4 linked regions of the Xenopus tropicalis genome follow. The protein of the gene in region 2 purifies or fractionates together with the protein of the main gene of each other region. This does not show direct contact. Links are inferred from orthologs where the notes say so. Each region holds a gene or a part of one and is shown on either strand. Other genes may lie near its edges. The genes, in order: lgals1.1, met, gab1 and plxnb1.

Region 1 (5,469 bases), on a different chromosome or scaffold from region 2:
ACTTTCAGAAGCCCTAGACCGGGGTAGGGAGCCTATGGCTCGGGAGCCAGATGTGGCTCTTTTGATGGCTGCATCTGGCTCGCTGCCAAATATTTAATAAAAAAAATAACGGGGGCATGGCCTGCGCTCGGCAGATAGAAGACATGTTCCAAGCCTTAGAACACGTCTTCTATCTGCCGAGTGCAGGCCACGCCCTCCTCCGCATCACATCCACATCCGGCATCCTTGGCACCCACCCTACCTTGCCCCTGCGATCGGCGAATAGAAGACGTGTTCTAAGCCTTAGAACACGTCTTCTATCCGCCGAGCGCAGGCCATGCCCTCCTCTGCATCGCATCCGGCATCCTTGGGACCCACCCGACCTTGCCCTGCAGCATCTGCGGCCAAACATATTGTATGGCTCTCATGGAATTACATTTTAAAATATGTGGTGTTTATGGCTCTCTCAGCCAAAAAGGTTCCCGACCCTTGCCCTAGACCAGTGCTGTCCAACTGGCGGCCCGCGACCCCCCTCTGTGTGGCCCCCCACCTGTCTGGCTGCTTTGATGGCTTATTCTTGTGTAAGCTTTAAATGGTATCAGTACTGAGATTAACTGCCCCCCCTGCATGGTTCTCACCTCAGATTCAGGCTGTAATCCCCCCCATTGTTCCCCTGTTCACACCTCAGGAGCAGTAGAAACCCACAAATAATCCCTGCACACTACAAAAAGAACATATACTGAGGTGGTACTGCAATTATAAAGTTTTTTAATATATAGTTATTGTGCAGACTGTAGGAGCAGTGCCAGCATTGTGTCACTGTAGGGCAAGCAGAGTATGGCACACAGAGGCAGGGTAGGGAAGGCAGAGTATGGCACACACAGGCAGAGTATGGCACACACAGGCCAAGTATGGCACAAACCAGCCAAGAATGGCAAACACAGTGAAAGTATGGCACACGCAGGCAGGGTAGGGAAGGCAGAGTATGGAACACACAGGCAGGGTAGGGCAGGCAGAGTATGGCACACACAGGCCAAGTATGGCACAAACCAGCCAAGTATGGCACACAGGCAGGCAGAGTATGGCAGGTTTTTGCTGTACTAAAACCATTAATGGGTATGGGTATGGTCATGTGATAACATGGGTGTGGTTTCAAGTGGGTGCAGTTTCAAAAAGGGGAGTGGTAAAAACTGGCTTCCATTATCGGCCCTCCACCACGCAGGTCAGAAAAATTCCGGCCCTCGGTACAACAGAAGTTGGACAGCACTGCCCTAGACCAAACCATGCCAGAGAAAAGCTCTTGTTCCCCATCCATCAAAATTGTATTTTAGCAGTTAGTGTTCCAACTATGCATATGCAGTTTTAGTAGGGGTGTCTGGATTCTTTTGGTTAAAAATGTATAAGGGAAAATAAATTGAATGATTATAAATGTTATGCTTAGGCTTTTGCAGTCTGTCTTCCTCTACACTGATCTCTCATTTAGTCTTGTTCTGTATGCAAGGAAATGGTCACACAAGTAAGGGAGCTTAATATCAATATACAGTGCATAGTCTGTGTGCTTTACCTCACTCCTAAACAGAAGGCGCTCGTTAATTAGATCAACAATGATTAAATAATGTTCCTAGTACTAATGAGAAAGAACAATGTTCTACCAGCCCTCTGTATAGTGATAGCCAAATGACTAAAGCTACTGTGAGAATGCCATGAGACTAGTGCACGAGTTGGAAGGGAGGGGGAATAGTGGGTCAGTGTTTCAATTGGTTCTTTTATTTGTAAAAGATCATAGGTTAGAGTCTCATTTCATTTTAAATGTTTGTCTGCATATCTGCAGAGAGGAATGTGCAGTTAGCCGTTTCTAATGCATAAATAAGATAAACATTTAAAGGGGACCTGTCACCCTAATAAATAATTCCAAATTGTTTTCTATTGTGTTTGTCAAGAAAAATCAACTTTATTCACACCATATAAATTATTTAAATCTTGTTTCCTTCAATCCTGGAATTCACAATCACAGCAAGTAGGCAGGTGCCATTTTGGACATTTTGTTATGAAGATAAGCTTTTCATCATGCCAAAATCTTGTGCCAAAATGGGGGACCTGATGCCCATGCACTGGCTACACAATGCACGTATGCCTAGCCCTATATATATATACATAGTGCTGATAGTAGGGGATACTAATAAGTTTTAACAAGATTCTGTTTTAACAATGGCCTGTCTCCTAGAGCAAATAACAGGACATGGTCTAGATTACATGAGCTCCTGCTGGGCCTTGTAAAGGCACCTAATTACTGTACTGTTTAACACTAATTATTGTACTCAATACCGTTGGTTGTACAATACTTTCTGACATGTATTTTGTTTACTTTTTCAAGCTTTGCAATAAACCTGGGAAAAGATAGTTCAAACTATGTCCTTCACTTTAATCCTCGATTTGACCACCAAGGCGACAACAAGAAAATCATCTGCAACTCAAAGGAAGAAAACTGCTGGGGGAAAGAGCAGAGGGAGACTGCTTTCCCATTCCAACAAGGAGCAGAGACATCGGTAAGCATGAGCATATGATGGTCACATGATTAATGAATATTTCTGTAAAATGGTAGGATTGGCCTCCAATCAAGGCTGTTGGAGTTCAAAATAAAAGTCCAGAATGAAATATGCTATTTGCTGGACACTCTTTGGGATGTGATGCACCCAGGTGGTTCAGAAACCTGTATAAAACACATTTGTTATATGAACTGATCATGTGACTGGTGGATTAAGTGAATGGATTGAGGCCACATTTATGGTGAATAGAATCAGGTTATTCTGAGCATATACAAAATGTGAGAGTGATCCCGTGTCCTGACTATTTTGGACGAGGTGAATGATTCTTTCCTAAATGCAAATGATATATAGCTATCTCTTCCAGAGGGCACCCCTATTAATAGTGTCTTTTTATAATAGAGGGATGAGGGGAGCCAGGTTGAGTGTATTTCTAGTGTAGAATTAGGATGAGCATACTTTATTTCCACTATGTGGGGAATACAAGAGGACATTTACAATGCATAGCCCTTATTTGGCACCTCCAGGTACCTTTTTTATGCTTGTGGTGCTCCCCAACTCTTTTTACATTTGAATGTGGCTCACGGGTTAAAAAGGTTGGGGATCCCTGTTCTAGATACTCCTGAAACCTCAGCCTGGGCTCCCTTTACAGTGAGTTTTGGGATGAACATTTCTTTTATGTTTTAGATATTTGTATCCATCATAATTTTTCATATATATGCAACCTTGTTAGCTAAGGGGGTCCATCCAAATGTTAGACCTTAAACGAGGAAATAAATCCAAAAACGCAAAAAAACACTGCTCTAAGATCTGGTAATATAGCAGCATGAGCGTGTGAAGCATAAGCAAGTAGTTAGAATCAGGGAGAGCCACTGGAATAGCTGTGTAAGGGCCAGAGTAGCACAGGGACTGAGCATTGAGAACATCCCAGTGCTCCTTGTTAAAAGGTTTAACAGCATGAGGAAGAGTATGACAAGATTTGATGATGGATTTATAGTCAGACAAGTTATCCGGCACTGTCTTTCTGAATTAAGTCAGCATATTTGTCTTTATTTGTGTGACTTACAGCAATCATTATCTCTATTTTGACAGATTTGTTTTGAGTATCAAGCAGATCATTTAAAGGTGAAGTTATCCGATGGCCAAGAATTCACCTTCCCCATCCGAATGCCCTTGGATACCATTACATTCCTCTGTATGGATGGAATAGAGCTCAAGTCTTTTTCGCTTCATTAACAGCTCTGCGGCCTCCACAGTCAATAGAAGCCACTAGGCCACATATATAACATGTCATACAGGAAATGTTCTTCGACCCATAATGCACTGTCACTGACAAGCTGTGGGGAGGACTATATAGTTCCTAGTTAGAAAATTTTCTTTCACAAAAGCTACTAAAGCTTTATGTTATCTTATGCAATATATCCTTAGCAGATCTCTCTGTACTTACTATAAACATGAAGTAATAAATCTTTGTTTCATTTATTGTCTGTGCTTGCTCTTGTCTCTTGCTAGTGTTTTCTAAACTCTCCAGGACTGACTATATGCTAAGGTTACCCAATCATGTGAAATACCTGGGACACCTCTAGATATTTCAACTAAAGGGGCTACACTGATTGTTTTTATTTTTAGGCAATTGGTTTGCAATCAGTGCAGCACAGAAAGAGCCTACATTCATTTGTCCCTGGTTTGGTAGTGTCATGATATTTTTCTCACTTAGCACCCTACTGCTCGCTGAGCACCCACAGGCACAGATCTTTGCACTTCAGAATGGAGTGCAAGGACCTGAGTCTTGCTGATGAATACAATGCTCATGAGTTTGGCAGCACTGTATTCAGGAGGGGTGGCACACTGGTGACCTCTATTCAGCCTCCTAATTGCCCCCTAACATCATACATTCAACTACATCATTCAGACATGTTATGAGGTGAATTTGGATGAATGGTGATAGGGAGCTTGCTGCCTGCCTATTTTGGGTGTTTTTGTGCCCTTAAAGGAGACATATTGGATAAATGGGAAAACCCTAATTTTGTAGGCAATTATGAATAATATACGGTGCTGGTTTCACTTTGGGCTAAACATTAACCCTATCTGTAACAATGGCCCCTTTATTGGAGCTCCCTATAGATCCTATCACTTCTCTGTCCGAGTTTGAAATGGAGAGTGGGCGTGTCCTAATGGTCCCTGCCAGAAGCACAGTAGGAGGGGGAGAGCCAATCACAGCCCTGCACTCCCACAAGCAAAGACAGGCTTCAGTTCCCTATCAGGTCAGCCTAGCTGCTGATTGGTTCCTATCCTACAGTGCAGTGTATGGAGGGCAGGCGGCTCCCCAGCTCATCCAGATAATTCAGCCAGCAGGAAATGGAACTAATGGGCGGGGCTAGTGGGGTTTTGGTGTAATTTCTCAATAAATCAGTCAGAAACACAACATTTTTAAGCACAATCTATATTTAGAGGAGTATAATTCTCTGGTACATTCTTAATTTTTATAGGATATGTCTCCTTTAAGTTATTTAATACATTATTGCAGCAACACCACCCACTGAAACTCTCAATTTCTATGAAACTTTCTGCTGCTAAAGGAGCCTTCATGACTAGGCAGCAGTTAAGGTATTTGTCCTCTACCAGAATTTAAGTTCACTTTGCTATGAGTGGGATCCTATGCTACATTATACATACAGCATGAAACTGCATTTCATTCTAATTTTGAATAATTCAGGCCTTTGCTTAATCACACATGAGGCACACTTGCACTAAATATTTCTTAAGTCTGTCTGGTGTAATTTCTGGTGTTCAGCTTGCAGATTACGTGTGCATTTTTTTAGGGATGCACCGAACCTAGTTTTTTGGGTTCGGCCGAACCCCAGAATCCACCCTGATAGATTCGCCCGAATACCGAACTGAATCCGAATCCTAATTAGTATATGCTAATTAGGATCTGGAAGGGTTA
Region 2 (6,251 bases):
AACATTAGCAGAAACTGAGAATACACCTGTCATTGTAGCTAATTTGGCGTGACTACATGACTGGTCATTGATAATTTGGATGCAAAATGCATCGCTTTTTATAACCCCCATATAATTTGAACATGAATTAATGATTGTGATTTTTATGTTTAAGAAATAGAATATATTGTGAGTTGACCCTAAGCCCAGGACTGCAGCCCAGTGAATCAGCAAAAGAGAATACAGGGAGCTACTGGGATAATTTTCAGTGACACACATTCATTGCTAAATGGCTGTGTTGATCTTGAGCTGGTACATAAGTGGAAAAGGGTTGCACCTCCTGCTGCTCCTACCTTGCACCTCAAAATGATGTGAAATGTAGGGGAGGACACCTACATGGCTCCCCCTCACCCACCTCCTTTTGAATCTAGTGTGGCCTAACACCAAAATGGAAAGCAGAGGCCTGCAGGTTTAAGCATTTTAAAATGAGCCCTATGGTATAACATGACTATTTCTTTGTTGAGCTTTATCTCACTTAAAATCATAGGGCTGCTGCCCCAATACCAGTGATCCAGTGCTAACTTCCCTTCTATGCCTTGTGGCCAGTATGAAAACACCTTGGTGATGATTTAATAACAGGTGCAAAATGCGCTATAGTAAGTAAGTCTAGTAAGAGAGCAGTAGTGGCAGAAAGATGACCCAAGCTTTAAGGGAATAATGCACATTTCTTAAACATAGCATTAATCTTTGAGGTTTTAATGTTTTACAACAGGGATTAGATTATTTTTTACAATTAAGAAGTTTCAGTGCATCATGTGAAAGAAACTACATAATTAAGCCCCATTCAAAGCTGTTGATATTACTAAGCACTGTTTATAAGGATACCATATACAAGATAATCATGGCCATAATATATTTTTACCTCAGTCTATCTAGACACTAGCAAGGTTTTATATTATTTACTGGGACTGGCATTCCAGGGAGTAAGTTAATAAGTGGCCCCATGTGTTTGCACCTTTCTGGAAATGTTTATTACTTATAACAAATGTAAAAAATGAATTACATGTTTTTATGGACAGTGTTTATGTAGAAAATGGCTACTTTACAATTGAATCAGAGGCACATAGCCAGTTAGATCATAAGATGAGATGTTAGAGATGTCAAACATGTCACTATGGCCCCTCCTAAGGAGAACTGTATAGACTGATAGCCATCAATAAATAAACTAGCTATGTGGCGTTGATTCATATTTCAGAGTATTTCCACTTGAGGGTTTTCCTTTCTGGTTTAGTTTGTTCATGTTTGACACTAATATGATATGATAAATTTGGTGTTCCAGGAGAAATAATCTATTCATTTGCTATATAAAGCTAGTGCAGGTACAATGGGACTGAGCTTCTTTTAGGGACTGACAATAGATAAACCATACATACAGTATCTTCTGCTAAGAGCCCCTGGGGCACAACTGTCTCAATCTGCCTTCCATGGATTGATAGATTATATTATGTCTGTATAATCCATTATTAATAGTGACAGTGCCATCCAATGAATGTGTTAGGGCAATTATGTGTTTGAAAAAAATAATGTAAATAAAAATATTACATATATTTAAAATAATACACAGTATAACAAAAAAAACTATCTTAACGGTAATCTCTGGATATTATGACTGACATCAACAACAGTTGGTTTTTGGCTGTCTTCCATCTGGAATTTATCAACCTTGCTGATTTGTGCATCTAGGAATTTGTCATATCAGATTTAAAAAAATCAAGCAAATCTCACTCGAGAAAAGCAAAATGTTTTTAAGAGAAAGTAACCCTGCCATAATATTCTGCTCAATAAAACCTAAAACTGCAATAATGTTTTATGGAGAGAATAGGAATTACGTTTAAAATGGATGTCTGTCAGCACCTACAGACAATACAACACCTCAATGGCCATGAAAACCTGCGTCTGTTTTCAGTCATTGGTGCGTATGTGTGTATGTGGAATTTCTACATACAGAGAGGGTTGAAAATGTGCTTATTAAATTTGTTACTGATGAGAGATACACAGTTGACACACTATTCATATCATGTAACTTTAATCAAATGCTCTGTCAACTCTTGAAATGTCACATGTAACTTCAGTACCACAAAGAGGTTGGATTAATGTGACAGCTGGAGTGCTCTGAAAGGGAACAGTCTCAGTTGAAAGGGTTAATCCTTATTATAAATTTTCTGTCCTTGTGTTCCCTTGAGACATTATCTGTCAGTAAATAAATTATTGTCCCCAAAGTCAGCAGCTGCCGACCATAATGATACTGTTTTGTCATCGCCTGATTTTGTTTTGGCTCTGAAAAGGTTTTCAGATCTTTTTATTGAATAATATCTTTTATTTTCTGTCATGTTAGAGGTGACATCATGCTATGAATATTGTAGCATGGAAATGTGCAACTATACAGCAAATTGTAATAACTTGAACTAGGTTACAACACTAAACAGGCAGCATTTTATGACCTATCATACTATTGTATTACCCAGAAAAATGAGGGAAGTATTTCCCTGTCGCACTAATCTTTCACTTCCTGCTTTCTCTTCGAATGCACACTACTATTTCCTTATCATGGAGGAGTTTTGCTTAATGAGTTGGGGTATTAACCTATAGCAACTATTCAACAAGAAGAATCTACTGGTTCTGTTTTTTTAAGGCAAAAATCGAATTGCATCAAACAGATTAAATCAACACAATGCATATTGTTCTTAAATAACTTCCACTGATCCTTATATCAATGGGACAGTCCCAGTGGCACTATTAAATAGTTTTGTATATGTGAATTATCAAAATGCTGTTTATCAAGTCAACATTTTTTTTCTCAGGACCAGAAGGTCAAAGTGCCTGTGAAAATATCAACGTAATTAACAGCATTTTAATATTGCACAATTGCATATGCAAGACTCATCCCTGCCTCAATGATTTACATTTTTGCTTTTAAGCTGACTTATTTTAGTACCAGGGCAGTGTTTTATTGGTGTGTACCTGCTCGAGTACTGTCACACACATACATACACACGTTTGTATTTGTATTATACCATGCCTGATAAAGGGACCTAATTCATTCTCATAGCTTGCAATTGCATTTCTATCCAGATCATGGTTATCAATTTAATCCCACATCTGAAATAATAAAGGTATATTAATAACACTGGGTCTAGTGATGGTGAGAGTTCTTGAACAACTTGGGGGCCACAATATACAGTATAATATAATATTAATACATGTTAGCTATGAATTTGGTCAAGTTCTGGAACTCACCTTGTTGTTAATGCATAATCTGTTGTCTTTTTCATAAAAATGCTCAAGACACTTGGTGTTTTGCTTGTCTGCAGCGTTGTTGAAGAATTCATTGATGGTTTTCACAGACACAGCACAGACAGCTGACCTGTTGTTTGCCTCAGAAGAGTCAAGTTTGCTTTGGGCGAAGACAGCATAAAGTATATCATCATCTGGTTTGACGCCCATCTCTTCTGCCAAATCTTCACCAGCTCTGCCTAAGTATGCTGCTTGTAAAATATTAAAAACTGCACCAGCGGTAGACCTTTTTCTTCGTTTTTCAGTAAAAATACACTCCAGGGGCATCTCAATATAGGAGCGCAACTCAGAGTCTGAAGAACAGACCCTCACAATTCTAGTGTGATAGGCCTGAGAGTCAATGGACTCTCGCTGTACAGTTAAAAAGTAAACAAAATTGTTACTTTCAAATGTATAAATATATTTAATGGGATATATATCTCTGAGCTGGGGTAGTACATCTATGTATGACTGATCTGTGAGGTATTCAAAGCCATCCTGGGTCTCCTTCAGTCTACGCACTGACACAGAATGAATCGTCGAAGGTTGTCCTGTTAGTGTGCTACCCACAAAAAACTTTACAAACCTGTCTCTCACTGTTACCAGGATCTTGCTTCCTGTTGTACTAACAATGCAGTCAGGACAATTGTCTTTATCTTCTATCATTTGTGATGAATATAAGCAATGAACATTACTTGCTATATCCCAGGGTTTATCAGAATGCAAAGTATGACGCTGACATTCACCTCTACGTATATTTCCACAACTAATGAGCTGGTCATCATAGAAATCCTCCACAAACAGAGCCATATTAACGTTGTCTTTCCAGGTGCCATTTGGGGACAGAAAATTATCCGTGCAGTTTTTACATGGCAAACAATGAGAATGTACCAATAATGGACCTGTTTTATACTCAGAAACCTTTGTAAGATTTTCATTCAAGACATAAATCTTATTCACTGCTCCCACATATATGTAGCCCTTAAACATGATAATATTTTGTATTGGTGTATCTGTAGTGAAACTCTGGAGGTTGTGCTTTATATTCAAATCCATTTCTGCCATTTTGGCTGCTTCCTCGCATTGTCCCATACATTTCAGCAGCAAGCTTAGGAACACAAAAGCAACAGGAACAGCCACGAGCATCTTGGCATGTACCTGAAAAAGACAAGAAGGAAAAGGGCTTAAAACAGTTAAACTCAGCCCTGACTATCTCATGTCTAGACAGCAGAGTCATGAAGCTGACTTTCAAATACAATAATAACTAACAAAAGATGTAGTCCACTTAAACATTTTTAGCCTCCATTTAAAAAATAAGTATATTTAGCTTCAATGGAGTGTGAAACAATGGGGTTCCAAGGTAAGAAAGAAAAAATGCAATTTTCTTTGTGCCTTGACCAGCTTTACTAACTAGCACATTTCCTTTATAATGGTTAACAATGGAGGGGTTTGATGTGGTACAGAATGACGAGTAGCATGACATTTAGACCCTGTGATGGATAGGGTAAACGACTTGTGGCTACCCAGGCCTGATTGCCACAAATATATACTGAGTCATATATTATTTTGCTCTGCTAATTGTGCTCTTCTGTTACTGAGCTAAATATAACTTATCAAAGAAAGTCAACAATTAGAAATTTAAGAAGTAATGAACCAGATGTTGTTTACAAGAAAACAATAACTGATAAAAGATTTTTGCAAACCCTTGTGATTCACAAAAGATTGCTCATATCCACACTGGCTTCCAGGCATTTTACAGCAAGAAATAAGCTATAAGGTTTAGAAATAATGCTTGATAATTGCTATCTTTTACAAATATTATAAAACAAGATATATGTTTTCAACAGTTGCTATTAAAGAAATGCTTTCATATATAATGACAAATGCCTGTGTATGTTATCGCTTGGTAGCTTGTCAGCTTATTTTCATGAATGCTTTCAGGGGTCACTGCAAGTCTCTGTGGTGGGATTGGGGCGATTGGTGATCTAATGATCTGAAAAGAGAATCAGACTGATGTCATTGCTCTTGGCTACACAGCCAGCAGAAAGTACAGCATGTGCTATTTTTCTTCTTATATTTTTATATAAGATAAGAAAATACAATCATGAACACTGAACTGCAATCTACAGACAGTAGGGAAATACTCTGGAACAAGAATACACAATTCTGACTATTTGAAATGGTGGCATTGGAGAATACAGTTGGTTTTTCTAGGGTACAAGGATGTTAGAGCAGTGAATATCAACAGATATTTTCACAAGATTAGGTGAAAAGATAGGCAAGGAAAAGGCCAATAAGCCTTGGTTAGACATTTTATGGTGGTCATATAGAATAGAAATTGGCAGCTCATTTTAACCCCCTTTGGCAAGTGTAAGAGATCTTACTTCTGTCATTCTTCTCATGTGACCTGATCTTTGGCAAGCAGACTTTGCAGTGTATGGAAAAGGTTATGGAAGTGTATGGAAAAATTACATTTATTGTGCCCTTGAGGCTCCTTTAGGCTTCAAACGTTTGTCGGGATTGCCACACCTGTAACTGTGGCCTTGTACAAGTCAAGATACATACAGATACGGATCAATGCAGTAGGTAGGGGGTCCTGTTACGTAGAGCTTTCCATTTAAAAGTTAGTTCCAGAACACAGAGAAATAGGTCATTAAAAGGGAACTTCACCCAACAACTGTTTCTTGCATGATGAAAAAATATAAATTTCTTAGCAACTTTCCAATATACATGAATTGGAAAAGTTTAATAGTTTTAGAATTAAGCTAAAGTAATGGCTATTGAAAGCAGTACAGGTATGGGATCCGTTATCCGAAAACCCCATTATTCAGAAAGTTCTGAATTATGGGAAGGTTATCTCCCATAGACTCGATTATAAGCAAATAATTCAAATTTTTAAAAATGGTTTCCTTTTTCTCTGTAATAATAAAACAGTGCCT
Region 3 (6,251 bases), on a different chromosome or scaffold from region 2:
ATATTATTATTATGCAAAATTTGGGACAGTTGGGACACTGATAAGTTGCTATGTGTTACTGCACATTGACACATTTGCCCAGTGTTTGTTAAAGAGTCCACTGTGTAAAATGTAAATTAGCATAAGTGGGAAGGCACCATTAATGCTAAACAGGTTTTGGAGCAACAAATGCTGTCATCCAGACAATGGCATGGCTCTGCAATAATAGTGCATATCCTAAACTGATCGAATTCAAAAGGAGCATACATATATATAAAAATATATACTGTATATACTCGAGTATAAGCCGATCCGAATATAAGCCGAGGTACCTAATTTTACCTAATAAAACTGGAAAAACTTATTGACTCGAGTATAAGCCTAGGGTGGGAAATGTGCAGTTATTCTCGAGTATATACAGTACATAAAATCTTATTTTCACACAAGATTGCATAGCAATAGTGTAAAAAATTGTATAGTCTACCCCCCCACGCAGGAATCATACACTACACTGAGTAGTATCAATGGAGGGTACAACAACTGAACACAATAATAAACTCAATCAAATACCACTCTGTAAGTAAAAGATGCACAACTTTATTTCAGTCCATTAAAACGCAACACTAACCCCATATATATTATTTTTAAAAATAATTGTTATTAAAAGCAAAATATATATGTTCTTATCTGTTTATGTACAATCACATCTGGTTCTGATTATCAAAAATATGTGTTCTCCAGGCCATTATGCCAACTTCCACAATCACCACTACCCATCCTCTGCATACCTCTTAATCAGCTGCCTTCTGCTTCATTTAGTTTTCAGAATTAGCAGTGCTAAGAACAAAATAAGTCAGAGCCAGTGAGTACTTCTGCATAAGTATTTCTCCTTCCCGAGCGCAGCCCTGCCATGCATCGCCAGAACGCACATTCAGCACGTGTAGGGCACGATGTGTGCCGTCCGGCGCGATCTGGCGATGCATGGCAGGGCTGTGCTCGGGAAGGAGAAATACTTATGCAGTAAGGGGGGGGGGGCGCACGGCCGGGAGAACGTAACTACCGTATATACTCTAGTATAAGCCGAGGGTGCCTTTTTGAGCACATTATTAGTGCTCAAAAACTCGGCTTATACTCGAGTATATACAGTATAATTTTTTTTTTTTTTTTTTTACGAAAACAATAGCATTTCACAGTTAAGGATGCACCAAACCCAATTTTTTTGGGTTCAGCTGAACCCCCGAATCCATCTTAATGGATGCGGGCCAATACTGAACCGAATCCTAATTAGCATATGCTAATTAGGATTTGAAAGGGCATAACTATATGACTTTTTTTTTTTGCTTGTTGTTTGTGTAGTAAAATATAATTTGCCTTTTTTTTTTTTTTTTTACAATTGCAGATGTTGTAAAACCTGCTGTTAATTCAGAACCTTCCAACCAAGCAGCATTGGTCCAAGGCCCTCTACCTCCCCCTTACCAGCTTATAAATATGCCACTTGTGGAATCCTCAAATAGCCAAGAAGATCCCCAGGACTATCTTTTACTAATAAACTGCCAAAGCAAGAAACCTGAACCATTGAGGTAAGCATTTTTACTTTTGCTGTAAAAAAACAAATAATTCCTTTTCTAGTGCAAAGGAATTTTTTAATACTTTCTTCATTTAGAGTACCGTATTTTTCGGACCATAAGACGCACTTTTTTTCCCCCAGAAGTGGCGGGAAAAAGTCCCTGCGTCTTATGGTCCGAATATACTTTAAAAAAATGTTTTTACTTGCCCGTGTGGTCTCCGTGCAGGGCCCTCCTCTATTCACCGACGCTTAGCTGTGGCGCTGTGCGCATGCACAATGACGCGCATGCCCATACGCATGCGCGTCATTGTGCATGCGCACCGCGCCACAGCTAAGCGCCGGTGAATAGAGGAGGGCCCTGCACGGAGACCACACGGGCAAGTAAAAACATTTTCTTAAAGTATATCTGTAGGCTATATGCTGGTACAGATGGGGGCAATATGTTGGGTGCTGCTGGTACAGGTGGGGGGCAATATGTTGGGTGCTGCTGGTACAGGTTCGCTTTTAATGCACATAAAATATTTTAGGACAGTATTTGTTTCAGAATCTTTTTTTCTTCATTTCCCTTCTCTAAAAACTGGTGCGTCTTATGGTCCGGTGCGTCTTATGGTCCGAAAAATACGGTACTTTTTACTACATTTCCTTCAGTTTTTCAGAATTTTTCTCTCATCATGTTAACTGACATTTTTGAGGAAGCGAGTACATAGCATCCTACAACAGAAAATGTGCTTATATGATTAATTATTTTATACACATTCATTCCTTTTTGTTCTATAAGTCTGCACATGGAAGTATATATATATATATATATATATATATATATCTATATCCTTGAGAAAGGTCCTAATAAGGACCGAAACGTTGGTTTTAACAATATATTTAAAATAAAAAATTTTTGATGAAACATTGAAGGGTGTGCTGGCCACAGATGATTATTTTCTATACAGACATAATTTTGGCTATGCACCCCGCAGAATATTGAGCCTTGGAGTGCGGACACCATTTGGATTGATATATATATATATATATACAGTGGAGGAAATAATTATTTGACCCCTCACTGATTTTGTAAGTTTGTCCAAAGAAATGAAAAGTCTCAGAACAGTATCATTTCAATGGTAGGTTTATTTTAACAGTGGCAGATAGCACATCAAAAGGAAAATCGAAAAAATAACTTTAAATAAAAGATAGCAACTGATTTGCATTTCATTGAGTGAAATAAGTTTTTGAACCCTCTAACAAAAAAAGACTTAATACTTAGTGGAAAAACCCTTGTTTGCAAGCACAGAGGTCAAACGTTTCTTGTAATTGATGACCAAGTTTGCGCACATTTTAGGAGGAATGTTGGTCCACTCCTCTTTGCAGATCATCTCTAAATCCCTAAGGTTTCGAGGCTGTCTCTGTGCAACTCTGAGCTTGAGCTCCCTCCATAGGTTTTCTATTGGATTGAGGTCCGGAGACTGACTAGGCCACTCCATGACCTTAATGTGCTTCTTCTTGAGCCACTCCTTTGTTGCCTTTGCTGTATGTTTTGGGTCATTGTCGTGCTGGAACACCCATCCACGACCCATTTTCAGTTTCCTGGCAGAGGGAAGGAGGTTGTCGTTCAGGATTTCACGATACATGGCTCCGTCCATTTTCCCGTTAATGCGAATAAGTTGTCCTGTGCCCTTAGCAGAAAAACACCCCCAAAGCAAAATGTTTCCACCCCCATGCTTGACGGTGGGGACGGTGTTTTGGGGGTCATAGGCAGCATTTTTCTTCCTCCAAACACAGCGAGTTGAGTTAATGCCAAAGAGCTCTATTTTGGTCTCATCAGACCACAGCACCTTCTCCCAGTCACTCACAGAATCATTCAGGTGTTCATTGGCAAACTTCAGACGGGCCTGCACATGTGCCTTCTTGAGCAGGGGGACCTTGCGAGCCCTGCAGGATTTTAATCCATTGCGGTGTAATGTGTTTCCAATGGTTTTCTTGGTGACTGTGGTCCCTGCTAATTTGAGGTCATTAACTAACTCCTCCCATGTAGTTCTAGGATGCTTTTTCACCTTTCTCAGAATCATTGACACCCCACGAGGTGAGATCTTGCGTGGAGCCCCAGAGCGAGGTCGATTGATGGTCATTTTGTGCTCCTTCCATTTTCAAACAATCGCACCAACAGTTGTCACCTTCTCTCCCAGCTTCTTGCTAATGGTTTTGTAGCCCATTCCAGCCTTGTGCAGGTCTACAATTTTGTCTCTGACATCCTTGGACAGCTCTTTGGTCTTTCCCATGTTGGAGAGTTTGGAGTCTGCTTGATTGATTGATTCTGTGGACAGGTGTCTTTTATACAGGTGACTAGTTAAGACAGGTGTCCTTAATGAGGTTGACTAATTGAGTAGAAGTGTCTAACCACTCTGTGGGAGCCAGAACTCTTAATGGTTGGTAGGGGTTCAAAAACTTATTTCACTCAATGAAATGCAAATCAGTTGCTATCTTTTATTTAAAGTTATTTTTTCGATTTTCCTGTTGATGTGCTATCTGCCACTGTTAAAATAAACCTACCATTGAAATGATACTGTTCTGAGACTTTTCATTTCTTTGTCATTGGACAAACTTACAAAATCAGTGAGGGGTCAAATAATTATTTCCTCCACTGTGTGTATGTATATATATATATATATATTATATATATATATGTGTATGTATATATGTGTATATAATATATATATATATATATATATATATATATATATATATATATATATATATATATATATATATATATATATATATATATACATGCATGTTGGTGTTAGGTAGCATGTTTTCTATAATAAATACAGCGGATGCACCATTCTGTAAGGCTTCTGTAAGCATTATGACCATATAAAATGTCTTGTGCTTTTATAAAGTCACAGAACTCAGACGTGACTTCTAATGTCCTTAATATGAAATATATTTTCTTGATTATCTATGTGTAACATTATCAAAATATTGTTAAATGGTGTCACTCCTGTATAGTGCAGAAACTCTTTCACCAACTCTTTTCATCACTCTGCCATCTCTTCAGACATGTGGTCCCTGTCAGTTGCTATATTTTTGTTTATTTCAATAGAATAGCCACAATAGTGCAAGCTAGAACGCTATATTTATTCTGTAGAATGCTTTTTAATACCTGAGTAAACAACCTTACAAACTCTCTCTGTGTAAAATAGCAGCTGCAATTTTAGCTTGGTCTGACATCACTTCCTTGCTTGCATGTCTGTGCTCTGGGCTCAGATTACAGCAGGGAGGGGAGAAAGGAGAGAGGAGCAAGCTGTGCATGCCCAAGCCCTGGAGGTTTGAACTGAGAGAAGGAAGTCTAATACAGAGAACTATATGTATATAATAGAAGGCAAGAAATGCAGAGCAGCAATACTGTGTGTATTTATATAGACCATAGCTTACTTAGTTTTAACCTTTCCTTCTCTTTTAATGTTCTGCACAGAATGTAATCTAAGTTTCTCTAGTTTCAGAGAGGCAACATTTTGAATGTAGTTTCTTCCTGACCTGATGAGTTTGAAAGCTATAACCAAAATAGTCATTAAACATATAGCTTTCCCCATTCTCTCAAAATCCAGGGTTCGGGACCAAGCAAAACAGTAGGTATACTTGCATGCCAAGAAATACAAAGTTAGGTATTTTTTTACTTTTCATGGAGATGAAACAAAAGGGCATATAACAGCATGCCATCAAGAACATTGGAAGACTTACTTTATATTTAATTTATTAAATTAGTAAAACTACGGCATACTAAAAATAATAGGAATACATTGTTAGATTCCCTATCATAAAGCACAAAGGGATTTCTGCTGTTTGCCAGAAAGAAAATCCAACTAGGCATGGGAACACCAGAAATGGATTGCCCTATGCAGGCAATGGAACACAGTGCATTGGGTTTCAAAACCAAAAAAATCCTACTGATTTGTTATGTCAGAAATTTCATGTTCACAATCTTTGTTACTGTAATTTATATCTGCAAATCAGGCAAGGGGCCTCATCTTTAATATCAGAAGATGACTATCTACTGCTTGAAGATTTTGAAAGCAAAAAGATCTCATGGCAGTGAGTGTATAGTGGCCAGTCTATCAGCCAAGATAGTGCTGGACTTTGCATGGTCTGTGAGTGTGTATTTGTGCGTTATTAATTAAAACTTATATCTGAATGTCTTGACTCGTCTTGACTAATTTCAAGTGAGATTTGTAGTGTTTTGTCCTCACATTCTGAAAGCTTTGTAAGTGGAGTATACCAATCAGATGTTGATCTGTTGGTCACGAATAGTTAAACTTACAATTAAAATGATTAAATCGCTTTAACTTTTTGAGTGTTCCTCATATCACTTTCATATATGAACAGTTGATGTCTTGCCAGTTCTCCAGGGAACATGGTGCACCACCATAAAATATATCAAATGAGCGTGCAGGTCAGAATGTGTACAGATAATGGTTTTGAAGGGGCGTCATATCATTCATTTAATGAATAGGGCTTGTATTGAACACACTTTTTTTTTTTTACCTTATGTTTTAAATATAGAATATGCTGGGGTTAAATTAAGTTGTTGTCATGGGTTCAACTGCTAAGGATAAGTTGAACAGTGACAAATACCCAGCAATCTCTGCTGGGTATTTGGAGAGAACTGGTGAGTACCTCTTAACCGTGATTCAATTTCTCAGAGCAACTTAGG
Region 4 (6,251 bases), on a different chromosome or scaffold from region 2:
TAATTACCCCTTATTGGGGGCAGAACAGCCCTGTTTGACCAAAGGTATAGAGTATTCTGGATAACAGGTCCCATAACTGTAATACACTGATCAAAATAACAATTGAATCATTAGGAAAAACCTCCAAGCCTCACTTTCTGGGCCCTACCAACTGTATAATAATAACAAATGTGCAGTGCCCATGCCTGGGTTATTTTCATATTTTATTTCCATGATTAAGCAGATAAGCCAATAGAAAAGCTTGGCCCATTTGTCACCAGCACCAGTTGGAACCTCCACCCCAAGTAAATGAATCTACTCTGCCCTTAGTGTCTAACAACTGTCTGTACATGGGCTAGTCTCTTTCACATAGACTGGTCTTGGGCCTAAATGATTGCCTGATTGCCTGATTTCTGGGGATTGGAAAAGCAGGGTGAAGGAGCCATGGCCACTAGGGGGAGCTCTTGCTTCATGAAGTGCTTTTGCAGGCCATTGACTTGGAGAAAACCTCCAGAGGCCCCTTAGTTGGGTCAATGAGACAGAGTGAAGCCCAAGAGAATTACTGGAGGGCTGCAGGATGGACATCCCTAAGGTATAACAATATCCATTGCACAATGTCCTTTGTACTATTCTCACAGCACAAGGGGCACCAAGTTGAGCGCAACTGAAATATAACTGGTTATGCAGAATTAACTCTCTCCTTACCCTTCCTAACTTGTGATCAGCGATAGTGCAAGAATCCATGAAGGTTTGTGCAATGACCGACAGCACGGCGTCCACGTTGTCCGATGTCTGCACGTCGCATACAAACTGGGGGTTTTTGATGATGTTGATCCAAAACCTCAATGGCAAACTGCAAACAAAAGAGACAACACATAAGAATTACACACAAATCTACTGGTTCCTATATAACTGCATTGAGTGCCTGGATCTAGAAGAGTCCTGATTAGAATCTAGAGTCCAGCTTGTTCTGCCATTTTCCCCTTGTAAACAGGTCACATGACCAGTGCTGAGGTTCCTGGGGACCTGCCTATTGCAGCCCACAAGGAGCCGCCATCTTGTAGCTGAACAGTTCTGGGGCACCAAAGCTTCCATGTAGCATTTACCTGTTTGTTTTCCATATGTGGATGGTCTCTGGGTCGTTGATACCATGGCTGATGGCCTGCTCATCCAATAGATCGAAGAAATACTTGACAGCGAGGGGAACGGGCCGGCTGGTGCTGAGTATCACCTGGAAAAGGTCGTCCACAAACTTCTGTAGAGTCCCCTGAGAAACAGCAGAAATCATGGAAATAAATATTAATGTGTGATACCAGAGGGCACTTTGCGGTGTTTGGACCTGGGCAGTCCAGCAGATGGCGCTCCAACAAATGGCAAAGTACATTATAGTGGCCAAAAATAGAGACAACAAGTGAAACCCAAATTCCTACCTACTTTCTAAAGCCCCCATTTGGCAAAACAAATTCACTCTATGGTACATCATGGACATTGTTCTATTTATCTTTATTTCTTCATTAAAGTTATTTTTAGATGCTCATCCCCATTAACCAGAGTAGATTACGAGGGCATAGTATGCACAGAGCATTCCCTCGCTTCCTATCTGAATTTACACATCTGAGAGAGCTGCCACGTTGCTTGCCTAGGATTGGGCATTCCCTGTGCAACTCCAAACAAAAGAGCTTCTAGTGATCATAAACAGATGGAAATATTGCTACAGAGTCATCATTCCGCACTCACTTTAGTTACATTTCCAGAATGTGCTTCCAGGAAGAACCTGGGGCTGATACATTAGAAGGTGATAATCCTTCCAATCAGAGCGACCACTCCAGTTACTATATGATTGGGTCGAGTAGGGACTTCTAGCCGTTCAGCTGCTGCAGCAACAGGATCCAGCACCCCCATCACTTGAAGCTTTGGTTTCCCGCTGTAGCCTGACAGCTCTTGGATCAGTTTCTCATGCCCTGACCCTGAGGGCTCAAGTGTTTGACTTCCTCCCTGCTGTATGTACTGGGCCTTGTTCTTCCTACCTCCTCCTCATATTATACAGATATATAATATATACAGACTCCCAGCCTATCAATCTAAGCAATCAACACCATCATTCATTTTAGCACTCGGGTTCTCTTCCTGGGCATCATATTTCGTTCCGCAATCTCCTTCATCCCGTCAAAGAAAATATTCCCAACTCCTCCTAAAAACTGTCAGATTATTAGTAAGTATCACCCAAAATGCCACAAAATCATGGCAGCCCTTGTTTGCAGGCCTCCAGTTGATCGCCTTTTCATCTAGATTGATTAAAAATACTGCAGCCAGTCTTTATTTATTTCACCCCAATCGGACCTTCTCTGCTACCCCTCTCAGCCCTTAAACTGCCCTGACTGTAACCTCTATGGAGTTGCATCTAAAGGTGTTCAAAATAAAAAGAGGCAAAACAAATCCCGTCTTGGACCAACTGCACCAAAAAGCACATTAACCATTTACATTCATTATTCTATTTTTTTGTTTTCATTTCAAAATATTAAGACACAAGTGCTATTAGTATGAATACATTTTGTCACAACAGTGCCACCTGCTGGTCAGTTTCTGTGATCCAGTTGAGGAAATTGAGAAAGAGAGGGGCGGTCTGATGTTCTTCTGGTTAGGAAAGATGTGAGGAAAAATTATCTGAGGTTTCTAATGTTTTCCCCAACCAGAAGAACATCAGACCAACCCTCTTACTTTCCGTGACATCCCCAGACTGCGCATAGAGAAAGAGCACATAAATGAGACCGCAGGCAGATGAAACCATCAAACGTTCTCTTACCTTCATTGAGAGCAGGCGAGTCAGGTAGATTTCGGGAATAGCTTTGGCACGCTCTCTGTCTCGTAGACTTCCCCGTCTGTGTTTCGGAAGTTCTGGTTCATCTGTCGGTTTAACGAGGTGCCAAACCCGTACCCCACCCTCGTCTGAATCTTCCAGCATGGGGGTCTCTGAGAGAAAAAAGAGGGAGCAAATTTGCTTTTGTCTTTGCTCTTCAAAGCAGCAAAATCTATCCCTTGCCTGTGACACAATATGGAGTCTGAGCTTTCAGAAGGAGCCTGCGCTACACATTGTTTCTCCTACTCCTACCCATGTAACTGGAGGAGTCCCAAGCCGGACTTCTTACTATTGAGGGCTATTCTGATACCTACTGGGAGCTGCTATCTTGCTCCCTTCCCATTGTTCTGCTGATCGGCTGCTGGGGGGGGGGGATATCACTCCAACTTGCAGCGCAGCAGTAAAGTGTGCCTGAGTCTGAGCTTTCAGAAGGAGCCAGGGCTACACATTAGAACTGCTTTCAGCTAACCTATTGTTTCTCCTACTCCCATGTAACTGGAGGAGTCCCAAGCCGGACTTGGATTTCTTACTATTGAGTGCTATTCTGATACCTACTAGGAGCTGCTATCTTGCTCCCTTCCCATTGTTCTGCTGATTGGCTGCTGGGGGTGAGGGGGATATCACTCCAACTTGCAGCGCAACAGTAAAGTGTGCCTGAGTCTGAGCTTTCAGAAGGAGCCTGCGCTACACATTGTTTCTCCTACTCCTACCCATGTAACTGGAGGAGTCCCAAGCCGGACTTGGATTTCTTACTATTGAGGGCTATTCTGATACCTACTGGGAGCTGCTATCTTGCTCCCTTCCCATTGTTCTGCTGATCGGCTGCTGGGGGGGGATATCACTCCAACTTGCAGCGCAGCAGTAAAGTGTGCCTGAGTCTGAGCTTTCAGAAAGAGCCAGGGCTACACATTAGAACTGCTTTCAGCTAACCTATTGTTTCTCCTACTCCCATGTAACTGGAGGAGTCCCAAGCCGGACTTGGATTTCTTACTATTGAGTGCTATTCTGATACCTACTGGGAGCTGCTATCTTGCTCCCTTCCCATTGTTCTGCTGATTGGCTGCTGGGGGTGAGGGGGGGGGGGGGATATCACTCTAACTTGCAGCACAGTAGTAAAGTGTGACCAGTTTGCTCTTTTGAAAAACAGATTTCAATGTAGGATTCACTATTAACTGATGCATTTAGAAACAAAACATGTTTTCCTGTGCCAAAAGCCCTTTCAGCCTGCTACAATAAAACAAAACCACCAACTTACTCTCTCCTGGGATGTAATCGTGGTTTTCTGGGTGGATGTGCTTGCTCAGACGGGGCACCAAAGCCACTGTCGCTCCATCTGGAACCTGCACGAAGCAGAAAGTTACTTACATATGTTGATTAGGGAATAGCAAATAGAAAATGAGGAATAGGTAAAGAATCCTGAGCACCAATCACAAACTTCTGTAACAGGTTTTGGACAGAATCCCTGGCCCCTGTGGTCCCTATCATTACATATAAACAGAATGCACCTTATCTTTTAGAGAGGTTAAGGAAGGGGATTTTTTTTAGCCCTCAAACTGCCAGTTCAGATACTGAGGGGGAACATGCATGTACTAACATAAATATAAATCCCTTACCCACTGGTTAGGGGGGATACAGTCCCAGTAATGCAGTAGGTTCTAGGTGTTCTAGGTGCTACAAGCAGAAGACCTCCCTGTGCAAAGTCTCACCTTGTAATGTTGCAATGTGTTCACTCTTTTCCACGACCCATGCACCACTGACGTCAGATCTTCATCGGAAAGTATCAGATGACCGGCCAACCCTGATCTCCATTCTGCCAGGGGGAACGGGAGGAAAGGGTGTAAGGATGGTTATAAGCTGGTAACTGTTGGGACAGCTAGGAAAACAAATCCCCCTCCCGATATCAGGGCTGTGGAGTTGGTACATAAATCCTTTGACTCTGACTTCAAATCCAGGTACCTAAAATTGCTTCCGACTCCGACTTGGCAACTCTGACTCCATAGCTCTGCCAGATATACCATTTCTCTCTGCTTTCAAGTTGATGGCTGTAAGAGGGCGGCTATCAAAGGCTGAAGGCATTATTTTATATAAATAACGGTGCCACTCATAGTCTGTCTTGCCCTGGGTTCCAGCACTACTAAAGATTTCCCCTCCCTATGGACAACCTGACTTACCCAAGTCTAGCGCTTCGGGGTTTGGTCGATTACAGTACGGGGTTCCCTTGTATATCTGGTCAAGGATCTTTTCTTTCACTTGAGTGATGGTGTCGCAGTCGAGCAATTTCACCGGCAACCCTTGTGCTTCCTCTTCACAAGTGATGCCCGTGTTGGTTTGCATGATTGCATTCAGCGTCTGGGAAGGAATAATGTTTAAGTGCACCCAAAATGTCATCTACGTACCACTGGAAAAATTCACTATTTTACTCTGAACTAGCAACTTATAGGAGCCAACCAGCTAGAAGCTCAGACCAATCATCTGACGTAACATACATGAAAACAAAAATATGCAAAGGAATAGAAATAATGACCCCCTTCCCCCGCTGTTTATTAATTCCCCACAAGTGTAAGTGACATAAGGAATTAACTTTATGCGGATACTCAGGGAATTTAGTGACCTTGCTGAGAAGACCATGTTGGATTAGACACTTATCTATGGCCACCATCAGAATAGATTTGTGACTTAAGGCCCAATAAAACGATTGGGACAAAGGGGACAAGATACTGCTTACCATGGCCCCTACTTTGAGCACAGAGCACCCTTAATGTCCACAATAGGAAGCCACCCCAACAACTCACCAGAGTTTTGTATTCTACATCATCCCTCAGGAGGCGGTTGTCATTCAGAGTGTACTTAGCCTTCCCCGTCACACAGTCCACTGGTCCTTTATCCACCTGGTGCTTTATCCCACGGAACAACATATAAAGTGGTTCTCCAGCTGAATCCTGCCATAAGAATACAACAGTGACTAAGGTGACCTTGCCAATACACAGCTTATCAACTTGTAGATAGTGTTTGTAAACATTAAAAGTGCAATATTGTCCGGACCCCTGTGGGAAGGTGGAATCTCAGAGTTAAGGTCCCCATACACTGGCAGATCCGCTCGCTTGGCATACGGGTGGGTGATATCGGTAGAATCCAGTGTAATTCGATCGTTTGGCCCTGGGTCCAAACGATCGAATTATAATGATGGGCATAGGTAAAGTCGGTCCGGCACCGTATCAGGCCAGATATCGGTCGGGCAGGCCCGTCGGAAGTGCCCATACACGGGACCGATATCGGCAGCTACTATCGGCCCGTGTATGGGGACCTTTACAAAGTAGAACTGGTACTCAATCTACCAAAAGATAAAGTATGTATCCAATACCTAGCACTCGCTACTTACCCTCACAAACGTATATAGACAGATGGACATCCAGTT

The links.
Region 1: the proteins of met (region 2) and lgals1.1 purify together in Homo sapiens (affinity purification with mass spectrometry; 3 studies listed by BioGRID and IntAct, with this or other methods). This does not show direct contact. The link is inferred for Xenopus tropicalis from reciprocal best matches to the Homo sapiens genes MET and LGALS1.
Region 3: the proteins of met (region 2) and gab1 purify together in Homo sapiens (affinity purification with western blotting; 3 studies listed by BioGRID and IntAct, with this or other methods). This does not show direct contact. The link is inferred for Xenopus tropicalis from reciprocal best matches to the Homo sapiens genes MET and GAB1.
Region 4: the proteins of met (region 2) and plxnb1 purify together in Homo sapiens (co-immunoprecipitation; 3 studies listed by IntAct). This does not show direct contact. The link is inferred for Xenopus tropicalis from reciprocal best matches to the Homo sapiens genes MET and PLXNB1.

The regions. Positions count from the first base shown.
Region 1 is NC_030680.2:122,666,305-122,671,773, reverse strand, and holds the end of lgals1.1 (galectin-1), read left to right. Parts: intron 1-2,353; coding exon 2,354-2,525; intron 2,526-3,614; coding exon 3,615-3,758; 3' UTR 3,759-4,009; downstream 4,010-5,469. UniProt on the Homo sapiens protein: Lectin that binds beta-galactoside and a wide array of complex carbohydrates. Plays a role in regulating apoptosis, cell proliferation and cell differentiation. Inhibits CD45 protein phosphatase activity and therefore the dephosphorylation of Lyn kinase.
Region 2 is NC_030679.2:68,199,933-68,206,183, reverse strand, and holds part of met (hepatocyte growth factor receptor), read right to left. Parts: intron 4,471-6,251; 5' UTR 4,459-4,470; coding exon 3,277-4,458; intron 1-3,276. UniProt on the Homo sapiens protein: Receptor tyrosine kinase that transduces signals from the extracellular matrix into the cytoplasm by binding to hepatocyte growth factor/HGF ligand. Regulates many physiological processes including proliferation, scattering, morphogenesis and survival.
Region 3 is NC_030677.2:59,282,981-59,289,231, reverse strand, and holds part of gab1 (GRB2-associated-binding protein 1), read left to right. Parts: intron 1-1,378; coding exon 1,379-1,559; intron 1,560-6,251. UniProt on the Homo sapiens protein: Adapter protein that plays a role in intracellular signaling cascades triggered by activated receptor-type kinases. Plays a role in FGFR1 signaling. Probably involved in signaling by the epidermal growth factor receptor (EGFR) and the insulin receptor (INSR).
Region 4 is NC_030680.2:139,209,957-139,216,207, forward strand, and holds part of plxnb1 (plexin-B1), read right to left. Parts: coding exon 6,216-6,251; intron 5,776-6,215; coding exon 5,629-5,775; intron 5,186-5,628; coding exon 5,008-5,185; intron 4,647-5,007; coding exon 4,543-4,646; intron 4,177-4,542; coding exon 4,092-4,176; intron 2,950-4,091; coding exon 2,783-2,949; intron 1,247-2,782; coding exon 1,086-1,246; intron 833-1,085; coding exon 685-832; intron 1-684. UniProt on the Homo sapiens protein: Receptor for SEMA4D. Plays a role in GABAergic synapse development. Mediates SEMA4A- and SEMA4D-dependent inhibitory synapse development. Plays a role in RHOA activation and subsequent changes of the actin cytoskeleton.